Mus musculus: one gene and its partner. The protein of the gene in region 1 binds, or shares a complex with, the protein of each later gene. Links are inferred from orthologs where the notes say so. Each region holds a gene or a part of one and is shown in the gene's direction. Other genes may lie near its edges. The genes, in order: Eif3d and Eif3e.

Region 1 (3,822 bases):
TTAGTTTTAAGGTTCTGGTAAGGGAGGCCGCTTTCCCTGGTGCCAGTTAGATGTTTGGAAGTGGCTGCCTAGAGTACCAAGTTAAAGTGGATGAGGTCCAAAAGAGGCTGTCGGGGTGGAAGGCTGTGTCCGCAGCTCTGGGTGATGGCTGGGGTGGTGGTACAGCTCAGATTCTTACATGACCACGCAGAGGTACAGCGGGGTAGTGGCATCCTTGGGCTCTTGGTAAGTTGTTTAGACCCAAGCTCTTAAACCTTAAATGTGAGTGTGAATCATGAATCACCTGAGAGCATGTTTAAATACAGGTTCCCATCTGTCAGGTCTGGGCAGGGGCGGTGAGTCTACCCATCTCACAAGCTTCTGGCCAGTGCTTCAGGTCAGGAGCACACTTAGGCGAGTGGGGTCGAAGCCTGGCATGCACCATGAGCACGACACTCACTGTGTAGGTAGCACTTAGCACACACTGTCACCTTTGCCTGCAGACAAGTATTCCTCTCAGTTCGGTGGGGGAAGTCAGTATGCATATTTCCATGAGGAGGATGAGACAAGCTTCCAGCTGGTGGACACGGCACGGACACAGAAGACCGCCTACCAGCGGAACCGGATGAGATTCGCACAGGTAGGCCACGGCTGGCAGCCCACACTCAGCTCTCACTGAGAGCAGAAGTTCCTGCTGCTCAGCCGCCATCTTGGGAATACTGATGAGAAAGGAAAGGCTTACAGACCTTTGGCCAATCCCAAGTGGCAGTTTAGTGACCAGTTGTGTCAGAATAATGTGAAACGGGTCTAGGAATACATTGAAGGAGTTTAGATTTTTGTTCACAGTAGTTCAGACATCACACAGCTGTGCTGGGAACCCAGTGCCTTGCTGACTTGTCATGTACAACCTTTGTTAATTACATGGTTTGGTAGGGTGCCTCCTGCTACATAATGTTGCAAACTTTGCAACTCCAATAAAACTAGTAAACCCACATTAAAGTGGGAATGACAGTCCAAGCTAACACAAGTGCTACTCCCCTTAGCCCAAATTCTGTAGTCGCTGTAGAGTAAAAGTAAAGAGATGTGAAACTTAGAACTCACGCCGTAAACTTACTCTCAAGATACCATGAGCCTTGTCTCCGAGGGGCTAACATGGGTCTCTTCCTGCTCCCCAGCGCAACCTCCGCAGAGACAAAGATCGGAGGAACATGGTGCAGTTCAACCTACAGACCCTGCCCAAGAGTGCCAAGCAGAAAGAGAGGTGAGCGTCCCTTCCTGCCAAGTCAGAGTTATGTTCCCAAATGGGCTGTACTCAAAATCACAGAGCAGGGCAGGGACTGGCTATCTTTCACTCTTGAAAAAGAAAGCAAAACCTCCTCACCTATTGCTGCCCAAGACTGGGCAATGGCAGACAGACAGGAGGTGGGTGAGGCGGACATTTGAAGTGGCTCTGTGGCCTCTACATTCTGGATGCCTGGTTTCAGGCAGCACCACTTATGCTATATCCTGTGGGCCCTTGGGGCTGGGCACAGCAGCCACTGCACCCTAGCCAGGGCTGCCATGGGAGTAACTGGGCTGAATGCTGGTTGATACTAGTAGTGCGCCTCTGCTCGAATCCCCAGTGTGTTCTACATCTAAGCCCCTATTTTCTATCCTGGTAGCAGCTAGGAAGGATGATGCGATTCAGCTAGAAGCCGACACTGAAATCACAGCATTTTGTCTGTCTTTTCAGAGAACGAATTCGCTTGCAGAAAAAATTCCAGAAGCAATTTGGAGTGAGGCAAAAATGGGACCAGAAGTCACAGGTAGTGTCCCTCTAGGGACTCTGTGGGGACTTGGAGGGGTTTGTTTTCTTTGACCTTGAGAGATGTCTCGGGACTCCCCTGATGCCCGCGGGCATTTCATGTACAATAGGATCATACTCTGTGCCCTTTAGTTAGTGTGCCACTTTTAAGATCATATCGCAGCCCGTGTTAGCACAGTCTTTTCACTTTTCCTTCATGTCTGTTAAGGATTGGTTCCAGGTACCCTCAGAGATCAAGATTTGTGTGCACTGACCTTCTCTGCATGTATCTCATGTGTGTCCCCTCGTGGACTTTAGCTTGCCTCTGGATTATATATTTGGGTTGAAAGTATCATTTTAACTCTCGGGTGATCCTCCTCTGTCAGCCACCCAGTAGGTGGGATTTCCAGTATGCTGAGCATCCAAGAATTTTCAGTTTACATGTGACTGGTTATAGACCTGCTGGTATAAAGCTCACAAACATGGAGTCTTTTTGCCCAAGAGTGGTTTTTTTGTATGGGTTGCCACATTTCCTTCAGCCATTCATCTTTCCACTTTGGCACTGTTAGGTATAACACTGCCATCTTTGTGGGAGCTGTGAGCATAACAGACATGACCAGAAGTGGAGTTTGGGCTAGGAGTGTTGCCAACAGCAAAGCAGCTGCTTTTCGGGCACAGAATCGCGGCTTCACTGCCGAGTGTTGTAGGGTGATAAAGTCGTGAAGGTGCAGGTTGACTTAGCTGCTTGCTGTATCGGGCGTGTGCTTGACACCCTGAGAAGCCCCATGCTGAGGCCCTGCTTCCTTCTCTGAGCTGCCAGGAGTCACGGGCCCTGCTTAAAAACAGCCAGGACCAGACTAATGAGATGACTCAGCTTTTTAGAGCACTGGCTGCTCTTCCAGAGGTCCTGAGTTCAATTCCCAACACCCAGGTGGTGGCTCATGCCCATCTATAAAGGGATCTGACGCCCTCATCTGGCCTGCAGGTGTACATGCAGCAGAGAACCCAGAGATCAAATAAATACAATGAACTTAAAAAAAAAAAACATCCGGGACCATAATGATTGAATGAAAGCCCTTCCCATGTCACTCTGTCTTTTGCTATTTGCGTAGGATATGAAGATCTTCCTGTGTTTCCTCTGCAGAAACCCCGAGACTCCTCAGTTGAAGTTCGCAGTGACTGGGAGGTGAAGGAGGAGATGGACTTCCCTCAGCTGATGAAGATGCGCTACTTGGAAGTGTCAGAGCCTCAAGACATGTGAGTAGCTTCTTCCCTGGTGCCCACCCTGTTTCAGAGTCTGTCTGCCTGCCAGGGATCAGTGTCTCCTTAAGTCCTAGCAACTCCAAAGCAGATTTGAAGCCACTTACAGTGCTATGGACTGGTGGGTATGTTTTTGAAAGATCAAGACCCACTTTAAAAAATGCATTGTTTACTAAAAAAGTCCCAGTTTCTTTCCACTTTTGGCATCCGAGAAAAAGCCCAGTAGTTCAGTCACTAAGCTCCTGCAGCAGGAGAGGCGTGACAGTTGTTCAGGAGACTCCATTTTGTGTAGCATCGTACACTAGAGGGCAAGGACATAGAGCTAAGTCAGTGGAGAGCCAGAGCTTCAACCCAGAAGTCGATCTATCTGGGTGCCTCTATAATGGGCTCAGTTTCCCAGGGAAGGTTCACTGTGTAAGGTCTTTCCCTGTGTTCTACAGAGGAACATTGGGAGCTGCGAAGACAGGAAACTAAACTAACACTAAAGATTTGTCTCATTTTCAGAGGGATTAATGCTGTCTCTTTCATATATACTGAACTTCTGGGTGAAGTTTATTTTCTGAGATGGACCCTCCTGTGTAGCTGAGGTTTTTTAATTTGCCATCCTCTTGCATCTGCCTCCCTAACCCTGGGATTGTAGGCACGCACCCTGCAGTGCCAGGCATGCCAATAGATCTGACTTCCGATTCCATGGCATAAAAGAGGAAGAGGATCTCTGTGATTTTTTTTTTTCCCCTCTCCCCGCAGCGAGTGCTGCGGAGCCCTGGAGTACTACGACAAAGCCTTTGACCGCATCACCA
Region 2 (3,822 bases), about 35 Mb from region 1:
CCAGTTAGTGTCACCCTCCCACCCACTAATTAAGGACTGTTTGCTTCTGTCCTTGCTTTTAAAACATCTTTGGATGGGTTCAAGCCTTTATCATAAAATATGGTTAGTATCGCCTTAGAGTAGAGCCTTGTAGTTAGTTACACTTCTGAAATTGGTGTTTGTTTGCATGTCTGTTTTTCATATACTAATATTTCCTCTGTGTAATTTTCTTAATCCTCCAGTCTGTGAGTTCTCCACTCCAGTCTCTTCAGCAGCGAACATGGCTCATTCATTGGTCTCTATTTGTTTTTTTCAACCATCCAAAGGGCCGTGATAACATTATTGATCTCTTCCTTTACCAACCACAGTAAGTTACATCATTGTTTAATTTTACTTTTGATATATGATTTTTATGTGGTACGTGTGTGTGTGCGCGTGTGTGCGCGTGTGCGCGCACATGTGCTTGTGTTTGTTAATTGGAAAGCTTTATGTGTAGCTGTTACTGTAGGTCCTTCCGAATTGTTCTTAAGAATGGTCTCTGAACTAACAATATAGATATCATGTAGACTCAGGGCTTACCGTAGAGGATTAAGTCAGTTTGTATTGAATTCTCAGGGTTCTCCGTTATCTAGTACAAAGCCAGTCTTCATTTCTATGGGTTACACATTTGTGAGAGAAAAATTCCATCATTACTGAATATGTAAAGATATTTTATTCTTGTAATCATTCTATAAATAATACAGTAGTAACTGCAAACAAATCTATATATTACATATTACAAGTAATTAGAGATTAAGTTATACAGGAGTGTATGCAAACAATATCTTACTTTTTATAAAGGACTTTGATAGCCATAGATTTTGACATTTGGAACCAGTCATCTGTCAATACAGAGGGATGATTGTAAATTCAAGTGTAAGGAATAAAGGAATAAAGGCCTATGCTAAATTATTGGAAAGGAAAAAAGGAGAGGTGGGTGATTATATTATGGGAAAATCTTTTTTGTATTGACTTGCTGTCTTCAGCTTTTGGTTTGTCTTGGGTTGATAAGAAATGGGCACACTGCTCAGTGAATTTTGTGAATGACACCATTCTGTTGGCCAGAATTAATTTTATTTTTTATTTATTTTTTAAAAGTTCTCCCTATGTTACTGAAGTTTTTTTATGTACCTCAGTCTTACCTAAAATTTGATCATCTTTCTTCAAATCATGGATATATCACCACACTCAGCAAATCTTTAATTTCAAATCTTTCAGATATTAGGATATGTGTTTGTATATATGTGTGTGTATGTGTGTGTGTATCACATGTGTACATATTCATGTTACAACAAATAAAGAGATAGATTGTGACTATAAGGCACAATAGAAATGAATTGATTTAAAATGTGTAACATTGAATTTGTAGTATGGCTATGCTAGTAGGTATATCTTCATCACCAGACTACAACCACTAAATATTCTCAACTGGTTGGAGAACAACTAGAAGAAAGTTAAGAAATTTAAAACATTACATCACATCAGAGTTTGCTCACAAAGACTAATGGAAGTGATATTTCAACAGAGTTTCCCTTTAGTTGTTTTATTAACAAGGAGAAGTCATCCATCAGCCGGGATTCGGTTGTGTTTTTAGTTCAACAGAAAAGATACACAACCAGTGAACTTGTTGGATGCTAGGATGCTTTGATAGCTCAGGTCAGGGCTCTGGTGACTTGCTTAGGAGAAGGTAGATGTCTTCTAAGTTATGGCTGTCCTTAGGCTACTACTGTCGTCACATGCTGCATGATATTAAATTTCACTTGTGCAGTCTAATATTCAGTCTGAAATTTCAAAGTGAAACAGTGCTTTCATGTAAAATTTATGTTTCAGTAAAGTCATTTAGATGACAGCATGGTATGAATCAGAACTTGCAGCTTTGTACATTTTCCGTTCTGTCAAAAGTTAAAACAAGAAGCAGACGTTCCTAGCTGCAGGAATTTGTGACAGATACTTTTAAGTCACATTGCAGTTCTAGGATGTTGCAGTCCTCACTGCACGCACAAAGGAAAGTCCCATGCCTCTAAATTCATTCAACCCAGTTCCATTGAAAGTGATGCTGTAATGTCGTCACATGCAATCTAAAGACCATTTAACTGAATTGTGTAAGCAATAAAGTGCTCCCATATGCTTGTCAATTGATGACAATATTTAGTTAAAAGAATCTATGCAAGAAAACTGAGTTTAAGAAACTGATTATAAAGACCTTCCAACATCTATGGAGCAATGATAAGTGACTTCCTAGGCTCCTGACGTGAGTTTTCTAGCTCACTCCTAATTGGCAATAGTGATGGTACTGTTGTTGAGTTTCTTGTCATCGGATTCTGCTGATTTTACAGGTTGTTATTCTCTCGTACTACTTAAATGTAATTCTTAAATGCTTACACTCTTAGGCTAAACGATGTTAGATGTTTTCTTTAGTTCACACTGAACTATATACATGAAAAATTGTGGGAATTTAGTGAATATTAAGTAACTGTTGTATTTTTACCTTAGGTATCTTAATGCAATTCAGACAATGTGTCCACATATTCTACGCTATTTGACTACTGCCGTCATAACCAACAAAGATGTGCGGAAACGCCGGCAGGTGCTGAAAGATCTGGTGAAAGTGATTCAACAGGTAAAAATAAACTTAAAGCAGTCAGACAGTAGGTGTGATCTCTAAATGCTGGGGTAGGTCTTAGGGGAAAATAAGTAAGGTGAGAGGGAAGTCTACATGAAACTAGAGAGAAATTAGCAAGCCCTGAGCTTACTTTTGCAAAATCATAGGTGTCCTTATGACCAATATGGTATGAGTGATTAGTGCTTGGTGGAGCTGCTTGTTGATGGGTTGTGGAGTTGCTGCCTGTTCCAGATGGTGACCATTATCTTAATGTGGCAAAAGCCCCTGAAGTTTGGCTTATGGAGCTTCTCACTTGTAAATAAAACAAAACACCGAAAAAGCCCAAGAAATCAGATGTAATCTAAGAATGCATTTATAATTTGGACATGTGACAAACTTAATGTGTTATCTGAGGTAAGGGTTCGATTGGGTGCTTTGAGAAGATGATATTGGATTAGCTGTGAGTTGGCATTATGTTAAACAGTGCTTAACAAGATCTAACTGGACATTTGGATTACTTTTTTAGGAGTCTTACACATATAAAGACCCAATTACAGAATTTGTTGAATGCCTATATGTTAACTTTGATTTTGACGGGGCTCAGAAAAAGCTGAGAGAATGTGAATCAGTAAGTATGAATTTTTACTAAGCAATTTATATTCTTAAATTTCAAGATGTAGTAAAGTATTGAAGTAATTGAATAAGAAAAAATAAACTAAATGGTATATTATTGACAGAATGAAGACACCTAGTTGGTATTGTCTCCTTTAGGTTACAGAAATTAAAACATCAGCTATCTGAATTCATCTGATTCTCCTTAATTCTGTTTCTCTAATCTGGTTCATATGTACATGCATACCACAAATGTGGTCCCCTTATTTATAGATGGAATTACTTGTAGAAAAGATTAAATTTAACATTTCATATAAACTAAGCAATTTATTACAGTTATGTTTTTATACCTAAATTTTCCTATTTAGTTAAAAATAAAGTTCTTTCAGAGCAAGTCTGGAATTCGATATGTAAACCAAGCAGTCAGTGGATTTATGGAGATACATGCGCCTGCTCTGTCTCCCAAGGGCTGGTGTGAGAGGCCTGTACCATCACGCTCTGATGCTGGTTTTTGGTTTTGTTTAATTTTTAAAGAAGTTTCCTGTTTTTTAGTGGATGTAGGCACACATGTGGAAGTCAGGACAACTGTG

The links.
Region 2: Eif3d (region 1) and Eif3e share a complex: the UniProt entries of both Homo sapiens proteins name them as parts of the eukaryotic translation initiation factor 3 (eIF-3) complex. The link is inferred for Mus musculus from reciprocal best matches to the Homo sapiens genes EIF3D and EIF3E.

What each region holds. Positions count from the first base shown.
Region 1 is NC_000081.6:77,964,100-77,967,921, reverse strand, and holds part of Eif3d (eukaryotic translation initiation factor 3 subunit D), read left to right. Parts: intron 1-482; coding exon 483-619; intron 620-1,154; coding exon 1,155-1,240; intron 1,241-1,711; coding exon 1,712-1,784; intron 1,785-2,906; coding exon 2,907-3,019; intron 3,020-3,769; coding exon 3,770-3,822. UniProt on the Homo sapiens protein: mRNA cap-binding component of the eukaryotic translation initiation factor 3 (eIF-3) complex, a complex required for several steps in the initiation of protein synthesis of a specialized repertoire of mRNAs.
Region 2 is NC_000081.6:43,262,025-43,265,846, reverse strand, and holds part of Eif3e (eukaryotic translation initiation factor 3 subunit E), read left to right. Parts: intron 1-221; coding exon 222-346; intron 347-2,511; coding exon 2,512-2,638; intron 2,639-3,146; coding exon 3,147-3,248; intron 3,249-3,822. UniProt on the Homo sapiens protein: Component of the eukaryotic translation initiation factor 3 (eIF-3) complex, which is required for several steps in the initiation of protein synthesis.